Mus musculus: one gene and its partners. The protein of the gene in region 7 interacts with the protein of the main gene of each other region in a biochemical or structural test. Links are inferred from orthologs where the notes say so. Each region holds a gene or a part of one and is shown on either strand. Other genes may lie near its edges.

The links.
Region 1: the proteins of Cdc42 (region 7) and Cdc42ep5 form a complex in vitro, tested with the Homo sapiens proteins (2 studies listed by BioGRID). The link is inferred for Mus musculus from reciprocal best matches to the Homo sapiens genes CDC42 and CDC42EP5.
Region 2: the proteins of Cdc42 (region 7) and Pak2 form a complex in vitro, tested with the Homo sapiens proteins (4 studies listed by BioGRID, with this or other methods). The link is inferred for Mus musculus from reciprocal best matches to the Homo sapiens genes CDC42 and PAK2.
Region 3: the proteins of Cdc42 (region 7) and Iqgap1 form a complex in vitro, tested with the Homo sapiens proteins (6 studies listed by BioGRID and IntAct). The link is inferred for Mus musculus from reciprocal best matches to the Homo sapiens genes CDC42 and IQGAP1.
Region 4: of the proteins of Cdc42 (region 7) and Arhgap32, one has a biochemical effect on the other in vitro, tested with the Homo sapiens proteins (3 studies listed by BioGRID). The link is inferred for Mus musculus from reciprocal best matches to the Homo sapiens genes CDC42 and ARHGAP32.
Region 5: the proteins of Cdc42 (region 7) and Bnip2 form a complex in vitro, tested with the Homo sapiens proteins (2 studies listed by BioGRID, with this or other methods). The link is inferred for Mus musculus from reciprocal best matches to the Homo sapiens genes CDC42 and BNIP2.
Region 6: the proteins of Cdc42 (region 7) and Arhgef7 form a complex in vitro, tested with the Homo sapiens proteins (2 studies listed by BioGRID). The link is inferred for Mus musculus from reciprocal best matches to the Homo sapiens genes CDC42 and ARHGEF7.

Annotation. Positions count from the first base shown.
Region 1 is NC_000073.6:4,161,747-4,166,836, forward strand, and holds the start of Cdc42ep5 (cdc42 effector protein 5), read right to left. Parts: upstream 2,960-5,090; 5' UTR 2,713-2,959; intron 2,553-2,712; exon of another isoform or gene 2,499-2,552; coding exon of another isoform or gene 2,472-2,498; intron 2,442-2,471; 5' UTR 2,347-2,441; intron 1-2,346. UniProt on the Homo sapiens protein: Probably involved in the organization of the actin cytoskeleton. May act downstream of CDC42 to induce actin filament assembly leading to cell shape changes. Induces pseudopodia formation in fibroblasts. Inhibits MAPK8 independently of CDC42 binding.
Region 2 is NC_000082.6:32,041,343-32,045,632, forward strand, and holds part of Pak2 (serine/threonine-protein kinase PAK 2), read right to left. Parts: intron 3,240-4,290; coding exon 3,139-3,239; intron 2,659-3,138; coding exon 2,511-2,658; intron 1,836-2,510; coding exon 1,804-1,835; intron 234-1,803; coding exon 126-233; intron 1-125. UniProt on the Homo sapiens protein: Serine/threonine protein kinase that plays a role in a variety of different signaling pathways including cytoskeleton regulation, cell motility, cell cycle progression, apoptosis or proliferation.
Region 3 is NC_000073.6:80,713,550-80,716,963, forward strand, and holds part of Iqgap1 (ras GTPase-activating-like protein IQGAP1), read right to left. Parts: intron 397-3,414; coding exon 283-396; 3' UTR 1-282. UniProt on the Homo sapiens protein: Plays a crucial role in regulating the dynamics and assembly of the actin cytoskeleton.
Region 4 is NC_000075.6:32,252,120-32,256,409, forward strand, and holds part of Arhgap32 (rho GTPase-activating protein 32), read left to right. Parts: intron 1-1,947; coding exon 1,948-2,019; intron 2,020-3,054; coding exon 3,055-3,939; intron 3,940-4,290. UniProt on the Homo sapiens protein: GTPase-activating protein (GAP) promoting GTP hydrolysis on RHOA, CDC42 and RAC1 small GTPases. May be involved in the differentiation of neuronal cells during the formation of neurite extensions.
Region 5 is NC_000075.6:70,002,437-70,006,726, reverse strand, and holds part of Bnip2 (BCL2/adenovirus E1B 19 kDa protein-interacting protein 2), read right to left. Parts: intron 3,349-4,290; coding exon 3,262-3,348; intron 3,159-3,261; coding exon 3,060-3,158; coding exon of another isoform or gene 2,906-3,059; exon of another isoform or gene 2,728-2,905; intron 2,422-2,727; coding exon 2,386-2,421; intron 1-2,385.
Region 6 is NC_000074.6:11,828,587-11,832,707, reverse strand, and holds part of Arhgef7 (rho guanine nucleotide exchange factor 7), read right to left. Parts: intron 1,216-4,121; coding exon 1,116-1,215; intron 814-1,115; coding exon 759-813; intron 1-758. UniProt on the Homo sapiens protein: Acts as a RAC1 guanine nucleotide exchange factor (GEF) and can induce membrane ruffling. Functions in cell migration, attachment and cell spreading. Promotes targeting of RAC1 to focal adhesions. May function as a positive regulator of apoptosis.
Region 7 is NC_000070.6:137,333,302-137,337,591, forward strand, and holds part of Cdc42 (cell division control protein 42 homolog), read right to left. Parts: intron 2,829-4,290; 5' UTR 2,779-2,828; coding exon 2,674-2,778; intron 1-2,673. UniProt on the Homo sapiens protein: Plasma membrane-associated small GTPase which cycles between an active GTP-bound and an inactive GDP-bound state. In active state binds to a variety of effector proteins to regulate cellular responses. Involved in epithelial cell polarization processes.

The DNA of each region.
Region 1 (5,090 bases), on a different chromosome or scaffold from region 7:
TGTCCATCTCTCAAACTGCTCTTGCTATACCAGTCCTACTCTACCCTTAACCTAGATAAGCAGACATGGGGGCTGGAGAGATGGCTCAGCGGTTAAGAGCACTGACTGCTCTTCTGTAGGCCCTGAGTTCAAATCCCAGCAACCACATGGCTCACAACCATCCGTAATGAGATCTGGTGCCCTCTTCTGGAATGTCTGAAGACAGCTACAGTGTACTTAGATATAATAAATAAATAAATCTTTTTTAAAAAGCAGCTAAAAAAACTAAATAAAACTTTAAAAAAGTAGATAAGCAGACATATTTTTATTGTAACTTGACACACAATCACCTCTCCCTTCTTCCACCATAATGTAAACAAAAGTTTTGATGGGCTGTGGGACTGGCCCTTAACAACTTAGCAGGTACATGGATTTTTCCTTTTTTTTTTTTTTTCCAAGACAGGGTTTCTCTGTGTAGCCCTGGCTATCCTGGAACTCACTCTGTAGACCAGGCTGGTCTTGAACTCAGAAATCCACCTGCCTCTGCCTCCCAAGTGCTGGGATTAAAGGCATGCGCCACCACTGCCCCGGTCCAAATTGATGTTGTATTTTATATTTATATTTACTCCATAACCTGATCTTTAAACTTGTGATCCTCCTGCCTCAGCCTCTACTCCCTAGTAACTGGGATTATAGGCCTATACCCATAAATTCAGCTAAGATCACAATTTGTAACATCACATATACTGGTGCTAGAAATTTGCCCTTTTTTTCTTATGGGAGTTCCCTTAATCTTTTGCTGAATTTATCCTCTGAAAAACAAGAGCCAGATCCCTGTATATTAAAGGATGTTGAACACACACAGGGCCCTCTTTATTTCCCAGGCACATTCTCACAGATGAGCACCGGCCTTGGTAACTCATTTGATCCTCAAAACAATCCTTGGAGCAGAAGGTGATAACTTTTTTTTTCAATGATGAAAAGCAGAAAGATTCAATAACTGGCCCTGGGTCACACGGGAATATATTCTGGAGACAGGATTTAGACCAGGCTGGTAAAGACTGAAATGTAAAGAAGCTATTGCAGTTGACAGTCACCCACAGGAGGTGGACCACATGGAGAGGAACAAAAAAGCTTTAATTTGATATAAAAGCCAGAGCTCTCATGTGGTACCTTTCCTGACTTTGTTTTCTCTTCCATTGTATATGGGGGGAGGAAGTGAATTAAAAGAGCTTTTGTGGGGCTAGAGAGAACGCTCAGCTGCTAAAGGGTAGGCTCACAACCACAACGAGCTTTGGGAGGTGGATGTGATGCACATGCCTTTAATCTCAGTGTACAGAAGGCAGAGGTAAGTGGATCTTTATAAGTCTAAGGCCAGCCTGGTCTACATAGAGAGTTTCAGGCCAGCCAGGACTACATAGTGAAATTCGGTCTCTTGGGGGGAAAAAGCTCTTGGGACTGGAATGATGGTTAACTGTTTAGAGGGGGACGAGGGTACTCGCTGCACAATCACAAGAACCTGAGTTCAAATCCCCAGCACCCATTCAAAAACCCTCTAAGCCCAGCACGGAAGAGGGCAGGGGCAAGAAGACAGCTGGGGCTTATTCCTTTGAATAAGAGACCTCTCTCATTTCAAGAATAAAGTGGAGAATAATCTAGGGGGTTACCCTAACATACTCGAATGCAACACACTACATGCCTGCTCTAACACATGCAACATGGAGATTTTAATGCCCCTGTAGCCTTGGCTTGCTCTGAGACCTTCAGCGAGTCACATCCCCCTGCAACCTAGGTGTCCTTTTGCACACTCAGCTCTAAGCTCAAATATGCGTGCTGCAGGCCTGTTAAACACAAGGCAATGTGGTCATTCTTGGGAAAAGTTCGTCATCAGCCTAGGCTCTTACAGAGGGGCTGTTGTTAGGGATCAATGCAAAGTAGACTGGAAGAAAGCAGGCAACCCAGCCCGCCCTGACAGACACATGCTCAGATAAGCACATCCTCTCTGGCCTCTTCCACCCTCTTTTTCCTGCCTAAGTACCGCGTGGCTCCAGCTGCAGGGATGGGGGTGGGGGTGGGGGTGGGGCACAGCTGGCTCACCTCTGTCCTCTCTCAGCCCCAGCCCTGCCAGCAAGAAAATAATAACCCGCTCCAGAGCTGGCTGGACTGGTTCTCAGGCTGGAGGAGGGTGGAGCCCAGACCTGGCAAGGGACCCCACCTGGAGACCCCTGGGATCTCAGCATTGGCAATTCTTTTCCTAAAGCCACCGGGCTGCATCGGGTACGTCGAAGTCCCTGGTCTGTTTGCTAACTAGTCTGTCTTCCTCCCACGCCCCCGGTTGAAGACCCCTGCCCACTACAACCTTCTCACCTCGTGGTCCAGACTTAATTGAGATCCGACTTAAGCTGGGGTCCCTCCTGGCCTCTCTGGCGCCTTTTTCCTTCTTTCTGCAGGAGAGATCTCACCTGGCAAATAAAGTAAGTGTCACGTCCTACCTGGTAGGGGCTCCAGGACCTAGGCATGCGGCGGTCTGAGTGCCACCGCCTCAGGCTGGGTCCTGCACCCTTGGGTCTCAGCAGCCCCACCTCCTAGCTCTCTGGTTTCACGGGCTGGGAGTTCCCCTGCTTTCCTCTCTCACATTCCAGGGGTCCAGGAATTCTCTTTCGTTTGCCCTCCTCCCTCAGACCCAAGAGACTAGCCCCCAGAATCTGGCAACCCCCGGAAGTTCCTTCTTACCTGCACCAGGAATAAGCTTCAGCCCCTCTCGGGGGCCATGGCAGCCTACCAACCAAGCACCGAGTCAACGCCCAGTCAGCCAAGCTGGTCTCTTGTCCCGGGTTGAGAGGGTTAAGCCATAGGCCCCTCCCAGCCTTCCTTAGTCCCTAAAAGTTTGCCTCTAGGATTTAAAGGACTAGAAAGCCTTGATGGTAGAAAAGCTAAAGGCCCTTTGAAGGGATTGTAGGGACAGGAGGAAACCAGGACTGAGCGTAGTGGAAGCGGGGGTAGAGCTAGGGGGATGGACGGGCACGCCCCCAGCCCAACCCCTCCCCGGCCCAGCCTGGAATGTCCTGAAACCAGTGAAGTCTGGCTGTTTAGAAGAGTAATTTCTTCCAGACTGCAGCTGTTAGGGGAGTGGCATGGGGTGGGGGCTGGGGGGGGGGGGGCAGGAAGGGAGGGCGAGTTGAGAAAAAAGATAGGAAGAGAGGAAAGAAGGAGAGTGTGGGGTGTGTGTGTGTGTGTGTGTGTGTGTGTGTGTGTGTGAGAGAGAGAGAGAGAGAGAGAGAGAGAGAGAATGTGGGGTGAAGTGTGTGTGAGTGAGAGAGAGAGAGAGATATGGGAGGAGAGGAAAAAAGATAAGAGAGAATTAAAGTCCCAGTAGGAGAAAGAAGTGCTGTGCAATTGCCCTGGAGCGTTCCCCAGGATGCTCCTATTTGCAGCCATCTGCCAGAGAAGGGTCTTCACTCTGATTCCCTGTCTGTGGTGAAGACTACACACTGGTGTTCACAACATCCTTCAAAAGCTGATGGAGCACGGCTGGAGTGAGGGTGTTTGGGGGGTGTGAGGTATGTGTGCTGTTCCCGGGTGTCGTGTGGCTTAGGGCAAAATGCACAGAAAGAGGGAAGGCTCAGAGGGAGACCCAGTTACAGATCTAATAAGCAAGCACCTTTGGGTTGCACACTGAGGTCTATACTGGGAGCCTGTAGAGCCAGGGAGGAGGGAGCACTGTCAGAGAACAGCAGAGGCATGGTAGGATAGACCTTTAGTACAGGGAGAAGTCCACAGTGTTTAATAGAGATATTTTGTCTAGGAGGTCTGCAGAAAGCACTGCAGGGACTTTGGACAGAGGCCACGTGGAACACAAACACACAGGGAAGCAAGTAGAAAAGAAATGACTTTGGTAGACACTGAGAGGTCAGCTTGAAAGCCACTAGGAGAAATCTAAGTCAGAATGACACATACCTGCGGGCCCATGTGTTTGCAGTTTTTACAGAGGAGCCAGGTTACTGGATTAGTCTAGACACCCATCAACGGATAGATGATTGGATAAAGAAATCGTGGTGTATGTTCCCAAAGGGGTTTTGGACAGCCTTGAAGAAAAGCATAATTATGTCATTTTTGAGAAAATGGATAGAACTGGAGGTTAAATTAAATAACCCATACTGATAAAGACAGCTACTATGTCTCATCTCATTTGTGACACCCCCCCCCCCACGACACACACACACAAACACATACACACACATACATGTTGCTGTTGATGAATTGTTTTGTTGGTGATAGCAGGGATTGAACCTAGGGCCACTTGCCTGCTAGTTAAGCCCTGGACAACTGAGCTATAAACCACTCCCTCCTGTAGGCACACTGTGTGCACAGTGTCGAGATTATCCTCTACCTGGTACCCTGCTCTTCAGACAGGGTCTCTCATTAATTAGCTCAGGCTGAGCTTGAGTTCACTTCCTTTCACTTCAGTGTCCTGGATAGCTGAGGTGACAATGTCTCACTATGTAGCTCTGGCTGGCCTGGAACTTGCTATGTCAATCATTTTATTCTCAAAGTCACAGACATCTGATTGCCTCTATTCTCCAGGGTGCCAGGGTTAAAGGTGTGTCATCACGCCTCGCTATTTATGACTTTTATTAGCTTTTATTGAGCTACCTATTCTGGGTGTGCATGTTTTTACACGTCACTGACATTGCAATAAATATATAGTTAATATATATAATGTAATTATGATGTTTGTAACATGTGACAGATATGACATATGTGACAGGTCAAGGGGGCAATGAACACACACAACTCCTGTCCGTGTGGTGAGGTAACCCAGGCAGGGGCTCAGAGGCTAGTGTGAGGATGTCATTGATTCAATTCATTCTGCCAACTACAATGACCCTCAGAGATCATCCAAGAGCTGTGGTGCTCAATTTGTGGGTCAACACCCCTTTGGGGGGGGTCAAAAAACCTTCCCATAAGCATCAGTTATCAGATATCCTCCCTATCTGGTATTTACATCACAACTCATAACAGTAGTGAAATTACAGTTATGGAGTAGCAACAAAAAATGATTTTATGGTTGAGGTCACCACAACATGAGGAACTGTATTAAAGGGTGGCAG
Region 2 (4,290 bases), on a different chromosome or scaffold from region 7:
CCACCACTGCCCAGCCATAATACAGTATTTTAAGCTCAAAGGCCTTTTAACATTTTGACAGCAAGTTCAAACACACACCAATTATTTCAAGACACAGAGTTGGGGGTCATCAGCCTGTCACTCACTGATTTTGTATGATCTGGCCGAGGGGCAATGACGGGAGGAGCAGCGTCTTCATCATCATCATCTTCCTCTGTCACTACAGCTGATGTCTCTGACCCCTTGGTGTTCAGCTGCATTCATCACAGCAGCAAAGAGAGGATAAACCAATAACATCAAAGGTTAACATGGGGCTCCCCTATAAAAACAGTCTTAAAAGCTTATTTCTTCAATAGCTAATATAAAAACTACCAAACTTCACTGGTTCCAATACAACCAATTAAAAAGTAAATGAATATATACGGTGAGTATCATTTCAGTGGGAGGGGACTCTGCTAATGACTGATCCTGAGGTCTGTGTATGGTGTGACTGCTCTACCACTGAGCTACGTTCAGAGCTCCCGAGTACACTGGGGCACTATTCCTGCCCTTTACATAAGCACACACGGTGCTCTGTTAAGTAAGCAATCTTCTTAAGACCAAACTGAAGGTTCTCTGGACTCTGTAGACATAAACCTCATTTTGAGGAATTTAAGAGATCCAGCTTCACCAGTTAACAAAGCAAGAAAAGGAGCTGACAAGTTTTGTTTTGTTTTTTAAACTATTTAGAATGTGACACAATTTACCACACTCAGAACGGTACTGGTAGGGGTTATGGGAGGAGAGACTATGCCATCCAGTTCACCATATTCAGGTTCAATCTGGAAACAGTGGAAGAGTAATTAAATTGCACTGGAAGCCATTATAAAGATTAAACTGCCCAACAAGCAAATCCTATTTACTTAATATGGTTTCTTCAATTAAACAAATGGCTAACTTTAAAAAAAGAAAGAAAGAAAGAAAGAAAAAACAAAGAGGTATTTATCTGATGGCTAATTTTACTTTATTTTTGGTTTTTTAAGATACGGTCTTGCTAGTCACCCAGTCCTTCAAATTCACAGTGATTACACAACCTTGGCCTCTTGAGAGTTGGGGTTGGAGACATGGCTACCACATTTACACTTGATCTTAGCCAAAAGGCAGGAAGCGATGGCTACCACATTTAACTATTTAAAGATGTATTTATTTTATGTATGAGTACATTGTTGCTATACTCAGACACACCAGTAGAGGGCAACAGATCCCATTACAGATGATTGTGAGCCACCACGTCATTGCTGAGAACTGAACTCAGGACCTTTGGAAGAGCAGCCAGCGCCCTTAACTGCGGAGTAATCACTCCAGACCCTTGTTTTTATATATTTACCAAGCAAATTAAAATAGACTTGTTCTAGGCAACTGTACTGGCTAGTTTTGTGTCAACTTCACACAGCTGGAGTTATCACAGAGAAAGGAGCTTCAGTTGAGGAAATGCCTCCATGAGATACAACTGTAAGGCATTTTCTCAATTAGTGATCAAGGGGGAAAGGCCCCTTGTGGGTGGGACCATCTCAGGGCTGGTAGTCTTGGTTCTATAAGAAAGCAGGCTGAGCAAGCCAGTAAAGAACATTCCTCCATGGCCTCTGCATCAGCTCCTGCTTCCTGACCTGCTTGAGTTCCAGTCCTGAATTCCTTTGGTGATGAACAGCAGTATGGAAGTGTAAGCCAAATAAACCCTTTCCTCCCCAACTTGCTTCTTGGTCATGATGTTTGTGCAGGAATAGAAACCCTGACTAAGACAGCAACCTAAATCAGAATGCAAATTATAATAAATTATTAACTTACTGCTGGTGTTCCAGAAGGGAAGCCATCTTTCTCTGAATGTGAAACAGAAAAGATATGTATTACCAAACTGAGAAAGAAAAGTGAACTGGGAAATCACACACACACACACACAAGCAGACAGGGTTTTGCTATGTAGCCCTAGCTGACCTGATATTTGCTATACAGTCCCTGCTAGTTGTTGTTTCTCCCCCTACCCCCATCCCTATTTTAGATTTTATTTATTGCATGTATAAGGTTGGGCGTATCCTTGGCTGCTGTGGAGCTAGAAATACAGACCAGTATGGCTTTGAACACACAGAGCTCTGTCTACCTCAGCCTGCTGAGTGATGGGATTAAGGTGTTTTCCAAAACGCCGGATGGATGGCAAAGCACTGTCCTGTCAGAGCTGATTTATGTCACAAAGTCACTTCCACTACAGCCTACTCACAACAACCATCTCAAGCATGACCTTGTCTATACATTTAGACGCTTTGCCTTCCATTGCTGGAAGTCATTTAAAAGCATCATAGAGGAAAAGGTTAAATAAGCAAAGAGCTCAAACATCCACCAACTCTATTTCTGGCAAAATGATAAGGTTTATATAATCACCAGACATCAACACTCTCTAAAGGGCAGATTTATGCAGGAGAGAAGGAGCGACAACAGCTATACTTCCATTGTTGATTGTCCCAGAAGGAATCTTTTCTCACCACCGTCTGGGGTCTTACCAGGAGGAGTGAAACTCAGGTACTTCTGTTTCACAGTGTTGGAGTCGTAGAACTTCAAGACATCCAGCACTGCCTGAGGGTTCTTCTTCTGCTCGAGTTTGGTAATGTTGGAGGTCTGCAACAGCCGCGCCCACTGTTCTGGCATGCCCTAACCAAAAGAAACCCATAAATGAGTTATGGTTTAATGCTCGAATAAAAACATTTCACAGACCAATGACAATGCCTGCACAGCACATGTAATGGAAGGCTGTGAGCTGCTGTGTGGGTGATGGGAACTGAACCAGGTCTTCTGCAAGAGCAAGTGCTCCTAACTGCTAGGCTAGCTCTACAGCCGGTACTTACTTACTTTTGAAACAAAGTTTCAACTATATAGCTCAGCCTGGCCTGAAACTCTGAAAACAGTCTGAGTTCCAGTTGCCTTAGTTGCCCATAGCTGCCTCAGTGTTGGGATTACAAAAGTACAGTAGTTTTTATTTTGTTTTTCAAGACAGGGTTTCTCTGTGTAACCCCAGCTGTTCTGGGACTCACTCACTCTGTAGACCATGCTGGCCTCAAACTCAGAGATCTGCCCACCTCCCAAGTGGATTAAAACTGTATTCCACCATGTCTGGCCAAAAGGTAAACTTACAGTGAACTCTCCCGTAACAGCATCAAAGCCAACATGGATGGTGTGCTCAAAATCAGATGGGGGAGAAATCTCTGGCCGTTCTTTTTCTTTCTTTTTACTTCCTGGGGGATGGGGGAGAAAATTATCTCTTTAAACAAGGCTATCTATGGCACTTATTACTGTATTTGTAAGTTCTGAAACCAATTATGAATGAACTTATGATAGGAACTGATTGATATCGACATGCACCCTGCTGGACACAATTTACGGGCGCCACTTGTGAAAGCGACCATCTTTCCCTCCCTCCTCCTCCAACCTGATTTTCTGAGACAGGCCTCATTCTCCAGCCCACATTGGCCTCAAATTCAGGGCAATTCTCCTGTATAGCCTAAGAATATTAAGGTTGAATACATGAGCCACAATACCTGGCTTACACTTTTCTTTTCATTACAGTCTGTAAATATTACATCTTTAAATTACCGAACTCTCCTATAGTTGTACTGTAAAAAAAAATTACAACATTCTTGCAACATCAGTAACATTTTTTGCACATTCAAATACATCAATTCCTTCTCCTCCCCAGTCCTCCTCCTCTAATCTGTAGCTCTTAAAACCAAGGATCTATTTCTGGATGCTCTGCTCTCTTAAAATCATCTGTCTATCATTATGCCAATCCTGTCTATCTTGATTACTGTCATCCTTATAACAAACAATCAAAGTATAGTCTACGTCCTTTTTTTTTTTCTATATGAAAATAACAATGTTTCACATTTCTACAAAAAGCCTCCTAGGGCTGTGACAGGAATTGCATTAATCTATGAATCTACTTAGAATTTATATACATCTTGCATTCTGATCCATGGCCAACCACAAATCGTGATTGCTGGGAATTGAACTCAGGACCTTTGGAAAAGCAGTCAGTGCTCTTAACTACTGAGTCATCTCTCCAGCCCCCAGCCTGTTCGGTTAATTTTAAATACTCCTACTAAGAATTATTTCTCATTGTTCTTTGATCACTGTTTTCCTCTGATAATAATGTTTTCTTTTTAAATATCTATCTATCTATCTATCTATCTATCTATCTATCTATCTATCTATCTATATATCTATATATCTATTTATTTATTATATGTAAGTTCACTATAGCTATCTTCATACACTCCAGAAGAGAGC
Region 3 (3,414 bases), on a different chromosome or scaffold from region 7:
GACCACTTAGGAGGCTTTAACAGAAAGGGGTTGGGAGGGGGTCCCACTCTTTCCTACATGATGAGAGAAAATGAGGGAGCAGGGCTGAGGGGAAGTCAGGCTTATGGCTTCACAAGGAGAAGGGAGAGGGCACTGACGTCCGTCCGTCCGTCAGAGGGAGTGTGAACTGAGGCACCGCCACTGGACCAGGTCCTTGCTTCTAAGGAATAATGGAGGATCCTAGAAAGACAGCCGTGAGGTGCTGCCGTTTTTTGTTAACTCTTCTGGGCGGCGAGCGACCCATTACTTCCCATAGAACTTTTTGTTGAGAAGGAAGATCAGGAGGTTGACATTCACTTTAGCTCTATCAAATAATTTCATAACTGCAACTCCTTCATACTGTAGCTGCAGCAAGTCCTGTTTAAAAAACAAAACAAAACAATTTCACCATCGAATCCAGAACAAGAAAAGGAAGGACCCCACGATCCAGGAGAGGAGAGGCAGGACTTCTGTGCCAGGTGTGAAATGGTGCAGCAGGTCAGACACACTTCTCAGTGCAGAGCTTTACGGGGCACGACTGCCCTGGGGCCAGCTACCCTGGGTGCTGGAGCAACAGGGAGCCTACAACTTAGTCTTAGGTTATCATTTAGTTTATAGTAAAAGATTCTAAACACAAAGGGAAATTAGGAGTTATGTTCAGTTAAAATACATTTAAAGCTTATTTCAAAAGTTACAACGGTAGGGGCCGCTGGAGCAGTGAGCAGGGCATGGATGAGTGGGTGAAGCATCATCCTCAAGAGGCAAAGGGGAGGGTGGAGAGGGGAGAGGGGAGATGGGATGGGATTTGTTGAGGGGTAACTGGAAGGGGGATATGATTTGAAATGTAAAGGAATGATTAATCAAAAAGAAGTTATGATGGCATTTCCCCATTGTTTCAGATGTAGGTTAGAGGTTTTAATACACATAGAAAAAGTAAAGGCATTTCAATTTATGAAATATGCCAATGAGAATGAGAAATGAAAATGAGAATGACCTGTAATGTCTCAGTACCTACCAGTTGCTCTGCCCCCGCCCCGCCTCCACCCCTGGCACTTTTGCACAGGCTGACCGAATACTCCTGACCCCATGGTGGGATGACAGGTATGTGCTGCCTGGCTCAGTTTCTACAGTGCTGAGATCAAACCCAGGGGTTTGTGCCTGCCAAACAAGCATTCTACCAACAGAACTACATCTCCAGCTCTGCAGTCTACTGGAGTCCTTTGTTTTTAGGAGACTGAGCCCAGGGTCTCTTGTAAACTGAATATGACTCCAACTTCAACTCCGCATGAGAAAGGTTGTCTAACGTAAATGCAAGTACAACAGGAGGAGCAACCATCCAGCACCGAGCCTGTGTGTGGCCTCGGTTAGGCACCTTACACACTATTTTTTCAAGGCATTACAAAAACCTTATGAAGCATAATTATCTGAACTTTAGAGATGAGCTGCTGAGGCTCAAAGTGTTGGGTGGCAAGGCCATCAGGAAAGAGCTGGCTCTGGGGTGATCGGTATGATCGGCTGTTTTCTAATGTTCTCTGCAGTCCTGGCGGCTTACGACAGCACTGTCGTCACTACCACTAAACTGGTGAGTGGTGGTGAGGAAGGGCATGAAGGGACCGCAGTGTCCCAAGGATGGGGACCATGGTGTGTCCTCTCTGCCTAGCCTAACCCTAACCCCAGGCACCTATGAGGCAGACCAGTTCCTGAATCCGAGCAGCAGTGTACAGTCTCCTTAGCAGACTGGTTGGCCTGCACTGGCAGTGAAACCAATGGAATAGGGACTGTATGCAGTATGCTTAGTTACAGTGTGTGAAGAAATCCTTTCACAGTTACTGAATTAATATGCGCTGAGAGACTACTGGTTACCAACAGGGAGGTACAGATGACTAAGACATACTGTCTTAGGAGTTCCCAGTTTTGGGGGTGGCAGGGAAATGAGTCAGCTCGCACTGTCAACAGAGGATGTCTCAGGGCTGCTGAGTCAAGGGGAAGGGCCATCACTGCGGCTGTAGGGGGGCAGCGCGGGCCAGTGCTCACTGTTTGATGGAGGCAGGAGGCAGGTAGGGAGCAGAGGGAGGGAGGCTGATTCCAGGAGGGGAGAGCATCCTGTGCAGAAGGCGGAACGCTTGCTCACAGAGAGGCACCAGCCTGGTTTGCTAGACCACGGCAGTGGCAAGCAAGGCAGGGTGTGGCAAGACATGGAAGAGCAGTTTGGCAGTAGAGCATGTGTGAGGCTCAAAGTTTGATTCTCAGCACTGCAAAAGAAATGAGCCAACCAGGCTGAAGAGGTCACTCACTGGTTAGGAGCACTGACTGCTCTTCTAGAGGTTCTGAGTTCAATTCCCAGCAACCACATGGTGGCTCACAACCTTCTGTAATAGGATCTGATGCCCTCTTCTGGTGTGTGTCTGAAGACAGCTACATACATAAATACATAAATCTTTAAAAAAAAAAAAAAGAAAAGAAAAAGAAACCAACCAACAAAAACCGTAAGAGGTCTACTATGTGGTACACACATAGTTGGGTCTGGACACCGCTCATGAATCCTTTCAATTGTCTGATTATTTCTGGCTTTGGATTTTGAAGATTGCTTTCACTATACAGGCTGGCCAGGAATTACAATGAAGTCCAGGCTGGCCTCAAACTCTGAATCTTCTTGCCTCTGTCTCCTGAGAGCTGGATTACTGGTGCGTGTCACCATCCTTATTTGGTACATTTTTTAATGTGCAAAAATAGATATTTAGGCAGCTCGGCATGGTGGCACATATCTATAATCCCAGCATTTGGGAGAAACAGGAGAGTCAAGTGTTCAAGGCCAGACTCAACTACATAGTGGATTTGAGGATAGTTTGGGCTACATAAGATTCCTCCCACTCCCCAAAATCAGGTATTTGGGGTTGGAAATTGAACTCAGTGGGAAACAGCCTGCAAGCACAATGCTGAGGGTCAAATGTAAGCACCAGAAAGAAAAAAAAAAGAAACTTAAAAATAAATTAGGGGCAGCTACGTTATAAAACGGCTACAGAGTTAATTTTGAATTTAAAATGTGATTCAGAGTTACAACGAGGCAATGTGTTCACAAATTTTAGTAATATCCCTAACAAAAGGTATCCATATCAAATAAAAATGAAAACAAAGAGAGATTTCAAGTACAGAGCAGCAAAGAATCTCTTACTGCTAACACTGGTGGTTAGGTACCTCCTTCAAGGCCAGGGCACCAGCTCATCAGGGCTGGAGTGAAGATTCAGGTGTCAGAGCACTCTAAAGCATCCGCACAGGACGACTCTCAGAGGACACAGACCACACCCAACTCCCCAAGCCCTTAGCTTCTCCCAACTAGGCGCCCACCGAGCTCTCTGAATACACAAAGCTCTCCCCAAAGGCTTTCCCTTATCTTTT
Region 4 (4,290 bases), on a different chromosome or scaffold from region 7:
TAGTGGCTGTGAGCTGCCTGCCATGTGGGGGCTGGGAATCAACCCCAGGTCCTCTGAAGAGCATCAGTGCTCTTAACCACTAAGCATGCTCTCCAGCACCAGGAAAGAGAACTTTCAACTTGGGAGTTGAAGAAGGTACAGTTCACCTGATCTTTAAGGCGACTGAGAGTCCTTTCTCAGGAGATGAGAGCAGGCTGGGGAGAGGAACAACTTGGAGAAGAGATTTGTAAAGAACTCAGAGAAATTGTTGTCAAGAGAGGAGAGCAGGAAGGTACGGTTAGGAAGGTCACAGAGAGCATAAGAAACAGAGCTCAGAGTATCTGCAGTTTGTTGTGCTTGCTATCAACAGGTCAGAAAGACATGGAACTTTAGCAGGTAAGATTAATGTATACAATAAAAATAACCAGTATTCCTGGGGCTGCTGTTACTAATTACTACAAATTGAAACTGGAAGCACAAATGTGTATGGAAACAGTTTGACAGATGTCACCTCGCCTGTGGTCACTTGAAGTTCTTAGGGAAGACACCCTCCTGTCTCTTCTATCCCCTTACGGCTCCCAGCATCTCTTGCCTTTTTTTTAATTATTATTACGTATTTTCTTCAATTACATTTCCAATGCTATCCCAAAAGTCCCCCCCTACTCCCCCCCCAACTCCCCTACCCACCCATTCCCATTTTTTGGCCCTGGCATTCCCCTGTACTGGGGCATATAAAGTTTGCGTGTCCAATGGGCTTCTCTTTCCAGTGATGGCTGACTAGGCCATCTTTTGATACATATGCAGCTAGAGACAAGAGCTCTGGGGTACTGGTTAGTTCATAATGTTGTTCCACCGATAGGGTTGCAGATCTCTTTAGCTCCTTGGATACTTTCTCTAGCTCCTCCATTGGGGGCCCTGTGATCCATCCAATAGTTGACTGTGAGCATCCACTTCTGTGTTTGCTAGGCCCCGTCCTAGTCTCACAAGGGACAGCTATATCACGGTCCTTGCAACAAAGGCTTGCTAGTGTATGCAATGGTGTCATCGTTTGGAGGCTAAATGGACCATCTAGAGACTGCCATATCCAGGGATCCATCCCATAATTAGCCTCCAAACTATGACATCTCTTGCCTTTAAGTAGCACAACTCCATGTTTTCATGGGGCCTTCTTCTCTATGTCTCTTTGTCTTTTATTTTCACCCTCCTTGAAGAAAGGAGCCACTGTAAGATGTCATCAGAGGGGCTGGAGGAGTGGCTCAGTGGCTGAAAGCTCTTCTTTTCTTTCCTTTCCTTTCCTTTCCTCTTCTCTTCTCTTCTCTTCTCTTCTCTTCTCTTCTCTTCTCTTCTCTTCTCTTCTCTTCTCTTCTCTTCTCTTCTTTCTTTTTTTTTTTTGGGGGGGGTTTGTTTTTTGAGACAGGGTTTCTTTCTGTAGCCCTGGCTGTCCTGGAACTCGGAAATCCACCTGCCTCTGCCTCCCGAGTGCTGGGATTAAAGGTGTGCGCCACCACGCCCGGCTGAAAGCTCTTCTAAAGGACTGAGTTTGCTTCCTAGCAGCAGAGACTCCTCCGAGGGATCCCTTACCCTCTCTGGCCTCCTCGGTCCCTGGCATACACGTGGGGCATACTCACATGAACATGTGCATACGAGTAAAAATAAGAGTTGTAAAGACATCACCCAAGGTTACCAAGTTGGTCTTTTGGAAACTTATAAGAAGAGAATCTTTTAGTTCACCTTTGGGCTCAAGTTCGTAGGCTTTGGAAAGTTGTTTGTTTTATTTTTTTTCCCCACACTGGAAACAGAATGATGCAGCACATTCCATACTGGGATAGTAAGCTGAATATGACTGCGAAATGGACAGCTCATCACACTTGGAGATTCAAGTGTTGCTAGGGAAAGTCCAGACCCTTTAACTGTATAGTCCTTAACAATCAATCACAGGCTTTACACTGCTTGGTTTTTATTATTTAGGTGGCAGGGCAGAAGGAACCCTCCGCTCAGCTAAAAGTGAAGAGTCCCTTACTTCTCTCCATGCAGTTGACGGTAAGACTAAAGTGTCCTCGGATGGATTACATAAAACACACAGAGGCAGCAATGTTATGAATATATACTTAGCAAGAAGGCTGTGAAATATCACTTCCAGTACTATTAGCATTAAGTATGGTTCAGTTAAAACTCATGGATATTTTAATATGGTGTGGTATTTTGGCAACAAATACTGTTTATGTAAAATGGCTGAAATGTTTCAAAGCAAACATTTATATTTGTCAGTGCTTAAAAGTGAGTGTCACTGTTTCCTTTAGATTTGGTAACTGGAGCAGCTTTGAGACTCATTTGTTAATGATGGGTGGTCTTCAAGGGTCATTAGTAGTTGGACCTGGCACCTTAAAGTGAGTCTGCCTCCAAAGGACCAACATCACCTGGCAGATACTGGAGGGAGGTGTGGTTACAGCTTAAGTTAAAATTCAGAATCAGACTTTATGAAAGCAAGTGTTGTGCTAAGCTGTGCCACTTGGATTTGCTTGGAAAGTGAAAAGCCTGTTTTCATTGGAAAAGAAGGAAGGATTTTAAGTGTGTGAATAGAGTGCTTTATTAAATGTGTGTAAATACTTTTTAATTAGGAAGAAGTATCATTTCTTCTTGTCTGGGGTACCATAAGGATATTTCCCCATAATAAACAACCTTTTGTTACTATTTGATACCCAAGGTGCTACTTTCAGTGATGACTTCTACCTTGCAAGTCAAATATGAGACCAGTGATAAAATAAGACACAAAGAAAGTAGGAACATTTGCCCAAAGTCATAGCAGTTGTCAATGTTGAGTTTGGCATACAATCCAAGAGTCTCTTGCCATTTTCTTACCCAGGCTGTGGATCAGCTGTAGTTCATGTGCTTTTTAATTAGTGTTTTATTTAGAAGTTCTTTTGCCACAAATGTAACTGATGTTTGTACACCCAGAGACAGTTCATGGGACGAGAGATTGAAGTTGCATGATTCCTGCTGTACTAGATAGGTGACTAGTGGTGGTGCTGTGTCCTGTGACAGCCATGCTCTGACATTGCTGTCCATTTTTACCAGGTGATTCCAAGTTGTTCCGACCTAGAAGACCCAGATCCAGCAGCGATGCGCTCTCTGCCTCTTTCAATGGCGACGTGCTGGGGAACCGGTGCAATTCCTATGACAATCTGCCCCACGACAACGAGAGTGAAGAGGAAGTGGGGCTGCTCCACATTCCAGCTCTTGTGTCTCCTCATTCGGCTGAGGATGTTGACTTGAGTCCACCAGACATCGGAGTGGCCAGTCTGGACTTTGATCCCATGTCATTTCAATGTAGTCCTCCAAAAGCTGAGTCAGAGTGTCTGGAGAGTGGTGCTTCCTTTCTGGATTCATTAGGTTATACCAGGGATAAACTGAGTCCCAGTAAGAAGGATGCAGAAGCAGGTGGTAGCCAGTCACAGACTCCAGGAAGCACCGCAAGTTCCGAACCTGTATCTCCAGTCCAGGAGAAACTGAGTCCGTTTTTCACCCTGGACTTGAGCCCCACTGACGACAAGTCTTCTAAGCCATCTTCATTTACAGAAAAGGTTGTTTATGCTTTCTCTCCGAAGATTGGGCGGAAGCTAAGCAAATCTCCTTCCATGAACATATCTGAGCCTATTTCAGTGACTCTCCCACCTCGGGTATCAGAAGTCATCGGTACGGTCTCCAATACTGTAGCTCAGAATGCATCACCTACATCTTGGGACAAAAGTGTGGAAGAAAGAGATGTCATAAATAGATCCCCCACCCAGCTGCAGCTAGGAAAGATGAAAGCAGGTGAGAGAGAGGCACAGGAGACCTGTGAACCAGAAGCACAGCCCCTGGAACAGGGGGCAGCTGAAGAAGTAGAGTTGCCAGGGACAGAGGAGCGGCCTGTCCTGAGCAGTCAGAGCAAGGCTGTACCGTCTGGACAGAGTCAGACAGGTACTGTTTGTTCTCCTCCGTTCCTTCTCTAAGCTAAAAGGGGTCTTCCGTCCTGTGTGCCATCTGTGCCTTTTAAGAGAGCCTTCTCCACAGCTAGGCTAGAATCAAAGAATGTTTTTCTGAATGGTGCTGAGGGCTCAAAGCCCTAAACTAAAATGAAGCAAACAAAACTCCCCAAAGGGCCCATGGTCCTGCTGCGAGCCTTCACAAAGGACCCCTTAAGTCTCTGGACAGTCAGGATTCATGGATAATTTTTGCACAACTGTGTAGCTCTTGATTCTGTTTTCTCTTCTAATGCATATTCTATTCTAGCCTTACAAGTTGACAAGCCAGTGTAGCAGTACCATCACA
Region 5 (4,290 bases), on a different chromosome or scaffold from region 7:
AACTCTCTCAAAAATGATTGTTAACTGAAATTTAAATGTGTCATTTAAATCACCAACTGACCAATTAACATTTTTAAAATCCAGAACCAAATTGTGTCTTACAGAATAGCAACTATACTATTTTCTGGAATTCACTGGTACACTGTGTGTGAATGCTGTTCATTTATTATGAAAGTAAGCCATATGGACTCAACATTCAGAAGTATCTATAACAAGTTAAAAAATCTCACTGGATTAATGGTTGGTTGGCCAGAGGTACTAAGAAAATGTAGGCACATGGAGATGAGAAGATAATGTAACAGAACTGACTCTGTAGTAGCTTGAATGGCTGGTGTGAGATATATAAGTCACACTAGTACACAGCAGGATGGTTCTTTTTCACACCTGTTTCCATACCTACAATTACCTAAATATCTGTCAATCAAAAGTAAAAAGGCCAGAACTGTTGTAAAAATATATTATCTTGGCATCAAAGATTAGCTAATACTCTTGTTAAGGCCTATAATATACAACTGATTTTTTAAAGTATGAACTACTATTAAGAAGTAATTGTAGGCACTGTTGAAGCATGACAGCTGCCTGGCCACAGGACACCACATTTCAGAAAGAAAACAGGTAAAACATTTAAAAGGACTATACCTCAATCCTTAGTTCCTAGCAAATACTAGGAATGCCTGTCCAAGTTCCACTTAACAGATGCTTGCCACAACTAACCCTCCCCCCCAGTTTTATCTTAAACATATTTCTGTATTTAGAGATAATTAAATATTTCTCAAATCATCTTTTTAATACTAAAGGAAGTTTTATATGAATTAAGGGCTGAAAGACATCAGTAATGACACTACTGAGGAATGAACACAAGCACAATGGGAAACAATGCAAGATAAATGACTACATTTCTTTTTTTTAGCAGGGGAACATAGATTAAGTGAATGCTTTCAAATGACAAAAGTAAAACATTAAGTTTCACTTTTTACGTGATGCCTGGATTACCTATGACAGCTGATAAAATACTAAAACCTTTTTAAAAGGGGTATTACCAGCACATTTCCTCATCAGAAGCATTTATATATACAGGGTCCCCTCTTCCCCCTCTCTCAACCCCCCCCCCCCAGCTCCTGAAACTCACTATGTAGATCTGGCTGCCCTCAATTCACAGAATCTGCCAGTTTCTGCCTCTCAAGTGTTGTGATTAAAGGTATTTGCCAGCCCCAACTCCCAGTAAGTCATTTTAAAGTCTAGAAAGTAGGTGGCTTCCAACTACTATCTATAATTATCGATGCTATTTTGAGTTTCATCCATTTGTCAGGCATATACACAGCACTGCCTAGAGAAGCAGACCCTACTACCCAAGCTACTAGTTACATACTGCTTTACACAAGATTAGTGAATCTTGTTTAAACTGGAAAGTGCTACACAAAAATAACTCTTAAATGGTTAGCTGAATTCTCACCAAAAGAATCACACTGTTCAAAATTAAGACTACACCAGCAAAGATTCTAACTGGCCCCACAGATGGTTAAAGTAACATATGTACGTCTCTCATCTTAGTCTCTAAGATCATAGTAAGTGACATTTGCTAATGCTGTTGTTACAATTTAAAAATAAAATGAAATCTACTAACAGTGGGTGTGGTGGAGGAGAAGCACAAGCTCACAGTTGGATACTGAAGCAGAAGACTGTGAAAGAGAGGCCAGCCTGAGATACGGAGTAAGACCAGCTCCAAAACTAAACAAAAACTCCCGAACTAAACTATGAATAAATCAGGACCAAGGCTTTTCTAAACTACTATATAAAATGATAAACTATTTTATGCTCTGCCTTTCATCTTTATGCTAAGACATTAACAAATGAAAGGTTGTTACACTCAAAGCAGAAGTGTTCAAAATTAAATTTCAAGTAGAAAGCAGAGTGTTTAACTGTTAAATGGTACACTGAATTTAGGTATTTTATCACATGTAGAGTTTGACTGGTTAGCAGGCTATTTAAGCATATAGAGAAAATCAATGTTGGTTAGCCAAAGAGTATATGCATTGCAAATATAATCATCGACCCCAAGGGAATAAGCTGTTGCTTGAAAATGTCTGTTTATCTACTTCAAAAGCAAAATGCTAAAGTTTTCAAAGGCCTGGGATTTTAGCCAGGGCTCCCAGTCACTTCTCTGGGTTCAGCACACAGAGCAGGAGAGCTCTGATACGACACACACGTTAAGCATGCTCATATTGAGCACGAGGAGCTTGGGGTTTGCCCTGTCCTCGGCTCTGGGCGACATTTATATTTACAAATGCTAGTCTCTGTTTGCAAGCTAACCAACTAGCAGCAGGGTTAGTCTGTGCAATGCAAATGGACTAGTCTAGATGCAACCCAGTCAAGGTGTGCATGTACCTTTTTTGTCTCTTTTTAAACTTTTCTTCTTCATACCTTGGTAGGGAAGAGTTATTTCAGTAAATGCACATTTTGAGATTAAAAAAAAAAAAGACTGAACGTGTAACTGTGTAGGCACAAATATGAAATGCTAACATTTAACATGATGTAGTGACTACAAACCAACTTGGTAAATCTGGTTTGGAAATACTTAAGCCTAAACCCTGAGACCAACAGTAACAGTCAGAGAAATACTGCACCACAGCACTGTGATGCCACTGCTCAACCAACAGTCTCTCCAAGTCTCTTAGAAGGCAGGCGGAAGTGAACGATGAAACAGAAAATTCTAGTTTCTGGAAAATATTAAGACCAAGCTGATTTAATCAACAACTCGTTTCTTTAGCAATGAGTTCTTTCAGTAATATGATAAACTCACTCCATGTGAGAGTGTAATACGTCGAGCAGAAAAGTTACTCTACAGGACTGCCTTTTCAGGAAGTCATCTCTCGGACTGTAAACAGCACTTAGCGTACAGAAGGACTCATGAGTGGCCATCACCTCCAGTTCTGTAAACATGGTGCTGTGAGGGGAAGCTGTGGGGTTCCTTACAAACCCTGTGTTCTGGAATACCGTGAGAGGGAAAAGCATTCCCCTTGCCCACAACCAGGAAGGGAAGGAAAGCAGGGCAGACGTACTGTTTGATGCACTCTGGTATGCCGACATACTCCATGGGAACAAGCTCTGCCAGCTCGGCCAAGTTAAAGACGTATCTGATCTTCTGACTGAACTTTGAACTGGGGAAGAAAACACAAAACAATTATCTCCGTACTTCTGACTCATAAATCTGACATTTAAATACAAGATACTTTTTTTTTAAATGGACACTCAGAAAATTACCTGATAAATGGTCGTGTAACAGCCAGAAGTGTTCGGATAAACCAAGAGGGGTGCACAATGATTAGAGACTTAAGGTTTTTCCTTAATCTGAAGACAAAAAGAAAAAAAATTATACAAAATTTCTACAAATTATAGCACAAAAAAGTTAGATATAAATAAGTATAATGCAAATTTGTACAAAATAGATGGAAAAAAAAGTCACCAACAATTTTCATTCAAGTGTAACATTCTAAAGACAAGAAAATACATTCCTGAGTTCTAAACATCCCTCCGATGCTGTGAAATAGAGTTTATTTAATTTGTCCAAGTTCATGGCTTACTTTGTCTGCTTTCAAATGCCTGCTAGCATTTCCTCCTCCGGCAAGGAAAGCTGATACTGAACATGAAAGAAAGTAAACCATCTTTTTCTGTTCAAATCTAGGGAACAAGTGGCATTTGCTTCTAATATCATGAAAAGCACTAGCTTGTAAGGGGGATGGGCAGAGAAAACCAAAGGAGTGAGCCAGGAGTCAGACTCAATAACACTTTGAAATTTAAAAATGTTCACTATAAAGTAAAAGCTTCTTTTTAGATATTTGTATGTATTAAAAAAAAAAACAATCACAGAAGATAGTGAACATGTTTTCCTAGGGGAAAAAAACAAACCCTATTAACAAGTCAGGGTAAACCACTTGAATCAACGAAGGCAACACTGAACCATTAGCAAGATTAGAGTTGCTTGATTGGTGTGGACAAATGAGTCTCAAGATAACACATTTTTAGTGATTGTTTTAAAAAACTATAGCTGGAAACCTGAGAGATGGCCTAGTTGGTCCAGTGCCTGCAGTGTAAGCATGGGGACCCAGGTCTCATTCCCCAGAACCCAGATAAAAAAGAAGAGAATGGTGTGGTACATAATCTCAGTGCTGGAACTCTCTAGGTACCTGGCTTATCAGCTCGAGGTCTGAGCTAGAGACTGTCTCAGCAACAAAGAGGCCAGCATCTGAGTAGTAAGCTTAGTGACTCCTGACGTCTACACAGAACTTGTGC
Region 6 (4,121 bases), on a different chromosome or scaffold from region 7:
GCTACTGAACGAGACATATCAGGAAGGGAGAAAAGCATACTGCCCCAAACACGAGAAGGGGAGACAGGCACTGCCAAGTATGTCCAGTTACCTCACCCTCAGGACACTGCTGCCCTGTCCCTCCAAAGCACTGAATATACACATCCTACAACGGCTCAAGCAGGTGAAGGGGCTTGCAGGGCAAGTCTGACATCCAGAATTTGATTCTCAGAACCCACATACAAGTAGAGAACCCACTCCACATGTGCCATGCCATGTGCCCCACCCCACATCAAACACAAAGTAATAAAGCACTACTTAGAAGTTAGGCAAAAGACGGGCCGCTCGCACCCAAACAGCTGTGCTGCACAGGCAGGCATCTCCTGCCTCTCACTCTTGTGTTTTAAAATGATAATTTATTCTTTTTTAGACATGCATGTGTGTGTGTGTATACTGTTTTATACACGGGGTGTTTTTCCTGCATGTATGTCTGTGTACAATGTGTATGCATTACCCACAGAGGCCAAAAGGCAGCATTAGATACCCCAGGACTGGAGTTAACAGATAGGCTTCCATGTGGATGTGTAAGCTGAACTTGGACCTTTTAGCCGCTATACCATCTCTCCAGCCCTTGCCAGTCACTCCTATCTGAGAAACGGTGTTGACTTTGTGGTTTCCTTTCAGTATACAATGAGCTTCACGTTTAAAACAGTATTTCCCTTTTTCTCCCATTTAAAAAAAAAAAAAAACTAATTAAAAGTAAAAACTGGCTGGCGTACCTGTCTTAACTCCTGGACTTCATCCTTTAACGCATACACCGTATCCACGAGGCTCCTGGAACAGGAGAGCGAGTAAGCACAGGAAAGGCCAAAGAGACACAACACAGACGGGCAGAGCCTCCAGGGTGGAGCCCCCCTAGGTTCCTCAAGCTAACCCCAAGCTTAGACTGTCACCCATCTGAGGGGCTGCACCCCAGCCTCCGGCAGACTTTAGAGATCGTGCCACCCATGGGATGGTGGGGGAGCCAGCCAGAACAGAATAGAAAACCATCTTATTTATTTTCTATCACTATCTGCCTGAGATGGAGTGGGGTGGGGGTGGGGAGCCAGCCATAATGGAAGAGAAAAGCATCTTACTTTTCCTCTATCACTGTCTGCCCATTGCTCTTGGTTTCTTCGACTATAATTTTTTCTTCTTCTGGAAGCAACACTTGTGGAGCAGATTCTTTGCGTGAACCTGGTCATTAGAAAGAGAAGGCCCACGTGAGTGCCACCTGAGGGCAGGAAAGGACACCTACTTCACTACAGTCACTTATCACACAGCACCAGTGATTGCGCAGGAAGACCTTTCACCACTTTCCTCCAGCTGTCTGCTGAGTGTGGCCAACCAAAACACTACAGAGCAAAGGAAACAGCAAAGGCAAACTAGGCAAACTAAGTAAAAATCGCCTCTTTTGCGAATTATTAAACTCTCTTAAGTACGTTAATCGCTAGCTAACAGCAAGTACGCTAAAGGTCTGTCCACACTGCACTCAACACACAATCGAGGTTTAAACCATTATAGCGGAGCAGCAACGCTGGAAAGTCCAGACCGGGAAAGAATGCATAATTCTTGTGCTTATAAATGAAAAAAGTCTGGCAATTGAAAAAAAGTTTCAGAGCTGGAGTGGTAGCTCAGTGTGAAGGGCTAAGAGTCACAGCTAAAGCGTCAAGAAAAAGCTGTACAGTAGTAATGGCTTTTAAAACCCTGTAGCACTGTAACACAATGGTTTAGGAGAGGTGCGGTTTACTGACTGATCACCAGATGAAAGCATTCTCAGCCCCTTGAGACACACAGCTTCCAATGGCAGCGGGAACAGGCACATGGTCCTGGCACAGACGTTGGCTGGTAACCACCTCATGTGTCGGACGCACAATGTGCTGCAGACACTGGCCTTGAAAGGATGGGTACCAGGAAGAATTACGCCATGTGACTGATTATTCTCATTGTTTTTGCGCACCACCACCAGGTCCGCACTGGAGGAAGGACGGGCTCTGCATGAATATGGACGCCTGCTGAAGGACGGGCTCTGTGTGAATACAGATGCCTGCCGAGGGCTGTGCTGTCACAGCTCTTGAGGAAAAGCATGTGACACGAGGCAAGATGACTGTGCACAAGGGGTTAATTTGCTTTTGTGTTTCTGGGGTGCCCTTTGTCTGTCTTTCTGAAAGCATATCAGATTTTAAGGAGCACTTCTTGTGCACCCTCGTTGGCATGGAAACCCTAGAATGGTGTTTGAGAGAGAAAACTGTGAAGAGCAGCTTTTCATGCAATTTAACCCGAACCTGTGCTCTGAATGCACTGAGGTGAGCCCACTGCTGTCTAAGCTTATGAAATGTCCCTGGCATGTAGGGACATATAGCTGTACATCAGGCTAACTATGGGGCCTGGAAGACTCTGTGTATCTGCCAAGCCTATTGCACTGGAAGGTACTCAATCAAGGCCAGAATGACAGAGACTGGAAACACCTTGGGGAGTTCAGGAGTGGCCATCAAGCCAGGCCTGCCAGGCCTATGTCACAGAGCACAATTTTGTCAGTAAAAGGAGGCCCTGTATATGGTGAGGTAGTCCAGCCTTGACTCCCATGTGAGTAGGTTGTCAACATCCTAATATGCTCGGAGTATACTCTTTGTGAAAGACTATCCCAAATGATAGCCACCCCACCCTGGAGGGGTTGCAGCTACGTGCTCTAGTGAGGACACACCACCTATCTTTCTCTCTGTGTCTCAAGTCCTGGAGATGGTAGGCTTTAACATATAGTCCTAGGGAGGGACATATTTTAAAAACCAGCAGCAGGCTGACAGTGTCAACCCCCACCCCCAGGAGGGTGCAAGTGACAGGCAGATGTCCTTCCTGGACAGCCTCTTTGATTTAGCAGGAGCCACTCTGAGGCTCGTTTCCTATTGAGCACTGAGGGACACAGGTCACACAAAGAAAGCATGTTTACGCATGCCTCCCACAGGAGGGCAGGTGTCTTTAGAGGAAGCTAATGCATTCTGAAAGTGCCCAAAAGTGAGGACCAGAGAAGTGCAGGCGTCTGCGATGCTGGACCCCAGCTCCTGGGGGAAGAAGGGGATCCAGGAAAGAGCACTTGGGATGGCTCTCCAGGCTTCCCGCTGTTACCCTGCAGCCAAGTAGTATGCTTGGGCTGAGTGCTGATGACTCTGTTAGTCTTGGTGACCACCCTGTCATTAAACTTACTATGGGCTTGAGAAGGCCCGGCGGGTGAGGCCCGGCGAGGCCTCGTCACCATACCAGAGCAGTGCGGTCCGCGCACTTCCTCTCAGCTCTTCCAGTCTTTTCTCGCTGGAAAATCTGTTTCCAGCATTAAAGCTTTCAGACTCTGTAAGAGACTGAGGGCTGCTCTACACTTACCAAGGACACTTTGCTGAATGAAGGTTGACCTTTCAGTTAACCATCTCTTACTAAACGTAGTCCTAAATAAAAGCTATGAGCTCCAGTAAGTAACGCAATAGATCTAAGGGACTAAACTTCATGGCAGCTGTCAGTTTGAAAACACATGACAGGGTCCTGGACATGAAACTGCTCTGTGCACAGGGCACCAAGACCTCAATCAAAGTCTAAGACTGTGCTCTGGGTTGAAGGTATAACTGCTCCAGCTCTGAGACAGGCAGAGGGAACTGCTGTTGAGCCTGATAGTGGGTGACGGGCATGTAACGCAGACTGCTCATCTGTACAGCAGGCAGACACCCGTCAGGTCACCATAAGCCACCCATCTTTCAACACAGCATGCATTTCTAAAATGATTTTTTAAAACGTGTAGCCGCCTTTCAACAAAACAATGAAGTATAGCAAGCCAGTTTGTAAGTTAGTGGTATCTTAAGGACAGCAGTTTTCTAAAATACATACTCAACACTGTAACTGAGACATTGCTGTGCTTAGTGGCATCAGAGCACAGTTTTCTTGAATACCTAGGTTGGAAAAAAGCATGTAACCACAGGACCAGAGAATGTGCTAGCACTTTACATGGTGCCCCATCACAGGAGCTGGCACAGCAGCACACTGTGAAGGCTCTGCAGCGCAGTGCAGAGCTGTCTTACACACTGTGGTCCCTGGGGCGATGGCGTCAGGATCTGCTGTTG
Region 7 (4,290 bases):
ATGTCCAATATTATTTCTAAGAAACTACTTATTCACAGACAGTTCGGCTGGAGAGATGGCACAGTAGTTAAAGAACTCTGGACTGTTCTTTCAGAGGACTCAAGTTCAGTTCTCAGCACCTACATGAGGAGGCTCACAACCACCTGTAACTTCAACTCCAGGGGAGCTCTGGCCTCTGTAAGCACTTGCACTCCTGTGGACATGACACATCACACAAATAAAAATTAATAAAATAATTCATTAAGGAGAACAACAGGAATGTGTCAGGTATGTTGGATAGCATCTATCTTAGCCACTTGGGGAGGTTAAGCTTAAGTATCACTTGAATCCCAGACCAACTTGAACAACATAGTAAAACCTTGCCTCAGAAAAAAGGAAGACAGGCTAGAGAGATGGGCTTAGCAGTTAAGAGCACTGACTGCTCTTCCAAAGGTCCTGAGTTCAAATCCCAGCAACCACATGGTAGCTCACAACCATCCACAATGAGATCTGATGCCCTCTTCTGGTGTGTCTGAAGACAGCTACAGTGTACTTACATATAATAAATAAATACATCTTTTAAAAAAAGAAAGAAAGAAAAAGGAAGACAGCAAAATCAGAATCAGAACGCACTGAGCAGAGTCAATGGCAGCCAGAGCTATACAGTGAGCCCCAGTCTTCCAAAACAAAACAAAACCAAAAAAAAAGCATAAACAAACAAACCTTGATTTCCAAGCCTCATCTGCAAGTTGAACCTAAATTTTCTCTCTCATGGAAGATGTGCATAATTTTCTTCAGCTCTATTCCATAACTGATAACTCAGCCCACAGATGGGCATAAAGATGCAAATCTATTTCCATGCCAACAGAGACACCATTGATAAATAACTGACTTCGGACTATTTACTTCAGGAGGCCCACTTAAAAATTTACCCTACTGCTATTCTTTCCCCAACAATACACAGACATATAAAACACCCAGAAGCCCACTTTCTTCTTTTTTTTTTAAGGATTTATTTATTATTATAAATAAGTATACTGCAGCTGTTTTCAGATGCACCAGAAGAGGGCGTCAGATCTCATTTTGGGTGGTTGTGAACCACCATGTGGTTGCTGGAATTTGAACTCAGGTCCTTTGGAAGAGCGGTCAGTGCTCTTACCCATTGAGCCATCTCACCAGCCCCCTAGAAGCCCGCTGTCAATTCATCACATTAAATAAAGTCATGAAAGACTTGGAAATCGTGTTTCCAAGTAAAAACTCAAGACACCAAATTCCCAATGGCTATCTCACCTTACGAAATGATCCATATCATGTCTCACAAAGCCCCTTGTACCTTCAAAACATCTTCTGATTAATGGGCCAACTCAAAACTGTAGTTTTATTACCAAATTACATCCTTAAGTTCTCAGCCCTCAAAGAAACTTCATCTTCTTTCACGCACCTTAGCCTAACTTCACCAGCTGTGCCATCACAGAGGCTAACACTATGTTAACTATGTCTCTGAAGACTGACCTCAGGTTGCTCTTTTTTTTTTTTTGGTCAATTCCAAAAGATACGAGTCCCATATTAGATATACTTTGGACCCTTATAGTTCCTAAAATTACTCCCCTCTGAGCACTGAAAGGGCAAGTACATTTAACATAATTATACAAGCAACTCTGAATAAATATTGTAGCCCCAAACATGCTTTCCCAAGTATCACTCCAATAAGTGTCTCATCTAGTTATTGAATTATTCCTATCTCTCCTCTTCCCTTCTAAGGAGGAGTTAATAAAGCAATTACAGTGAGTGTCCCAAGACTTCAGGCATATCTGAACGCTCTTAGAAAAGTCTGCTCTCTACCCCTAAAATTAAGTGTGAAATGAAACCTCATCACTATTTAGAGAACAGCTCCACAAGGTAAGCAGAAACATTACTACTTTCTCTGAAATTATAAGGTCCTTATATTTGCGCCCCAGGGTCTCTAGGCTTTATTAATCAATGGCACAGACACAAAAAGTCACCTCATCCCAATGTAGGATGCACTTCTGCAAACTGACAGCCCATGCTTCATAACTTTCCAGACCTTCTTACAGACCCTGTGTCACCCCTTCTAACTTAAGACTCATTTTTCATCTTTTACTTTACTTACCTTTATTATCATCTTATTTTTATATGTATATGTGTTTTGCCTGCATGTATGTCTGTGCATCACATGATTGCCCAGTGTCGTCAGAAGTCAGTAAAGGGCGCTGGATTATAGGTAGCTATGAACCACCATGTGGGTGCTAGGAATTGAATCTTGAGTCCTCTGGAAGAGCAGCCAGCATTTTTAACTGTGGAGCCAACTCTCCAACCCCAGCTGTTCTATTTTAAAGTACAGGTAATCATGCATGAGAAGTCAAAACCTTTAAAACTGTCAAACAGTGGGCTGCTGTGTGTGGCATTTGCTGCCAACCATGACAACCTAAGTTCAACTTAAGAGCCCAACAATGGAAAAAGACCCCTTCAAGTTGTCCTCTGCCATCTACACATACACCAAAGCAGGACACAGGTATGTACATATAACACACACCCCACAAAGTAATAAAGGTAGTAAAATTTAATTTTTTTTAAAGGGCAAGACAGTCAAAAATACTGCAGGCAGGCCAAGTGTTTTCCAATGGACAGACACTACATTACAATCTTTTGCTAGTAAAAAGCCTTTATACTTACAGTTGGTACATATTCCGATGGGAATTTGTTTGTTGTGTAGGATATCAGGAGACATGTTTTACCAACAGCACCATCACCAACAACAACACACTTAATTGTCTGCATTTCGGAAACAGTTTTGTATCCACTTTTAATATTTCAAATTAGATCTTGTCCTAAGAAGAAATTAAAGACAATTATTTTATTGATTTATGTTTAAATCCATACTTTTTTCCCCTAGCAACAGGCTCAGCCACTCAAACCAGAACTAGCATTACTGCTATGACTGAAAACCTCTAAAAAGAAAAAATGGCAACTTGCTCAGAGCAGCAATTACAAGGATCCATTTGCTAAGTTTCTGGACCTTGTTGTTTTGTCTTAAGTATCAAAGTAGAACAGTGACCGATATATTCCTTTTATTTTTTTTTTTCTTCCCTGAGACTGGGTTTCTCTGTGTAGCCCTTGCTGTTCTGTAACTCACTCTGTGAGTGGCCTCAAACTCAGAGATCCGCCTGCCTTGGGCAAGGAAGGTGCTATAAAAAGAGTCTCGTGTGGTATATGAAGTATAGTTTGTGAAAGCTGCTTCAGTGTGAGCACACACGCATTATATGCAAGACCAATTGCAGCCCGAAGAATACTCTAAAAAATGACTCACTGCCCAGCCTTAGAGCTGCAGTAACTCAGGATATAGTAACAAGCAGCGCAGCCTTCGCCCACCCCCCTCAGAACTTGTGAGCAATGATCAGAGTGACCTCTAGTTCTCAGCAGCCATGTCAGCACCAGTTAGCCTAGTTATTACTCATGGCCTCAAGTGTTTCAACCTACATTTTTACAATGAAAATATCAGCTCTTATAACCAGTGATAAATTTTAAATTGTAATTATTATATGGGCTAGGAACATGGTTCAGAAGTACAGCATTTTCCACACAAGCCTAACAACCTAAGCTCAGATCCCCAGAATCAAATAAAAGTTAGGTGCAGTAGTGATAGATAGTGCCAGTAATCCCAGGGTGCCCCATCAGGAGGTTGGAGGAAGAAGCTTACAGCATACATGGTACACGAAGCAGTAAACAAGAAAACCCTGTCTCAAAAAAACAAGGTCAAAGGCAAGGACTGACATTCAAGGTTGTCCTCTGACCTCCACAAGTATACCAGAGAGTGTGTTCATGCATGCATGAATACACATCAACACAAACACGCATGCCATGCAAGCACTAACACACGTGTGCACACACACACAGAGTTTAGTTTCTCTTACTACAGTTTTACCAACTATCAATTACAATACATCAAGAATTTACTGTACTTAAAGATAAACTTTCCCCTCAAAAAAATTTTTTTAGATCTGTTGTATGTATGTTTTGCTCATCATGTATATGCCTATTGTGTGCCTAGTGCCCACAGATATCAGGAGAGACAGCTGTAAGCCACAACACTGGTGCTAGAATGGAACCTAGATTCTTTCTTTACAAATGTTAACTATTAACCATCTCTTCAGTGAGCCACCCTACCCCTACAACCCCCACCCCACACTAATTTTTTAATCTGGGATATTAAGATATGGAATCTTTGTGTGTCTGTGAATGTGTTTAAGTACACATGTGCTTGTGTGCAAAAGTGCAGGATGGCCTCAGATG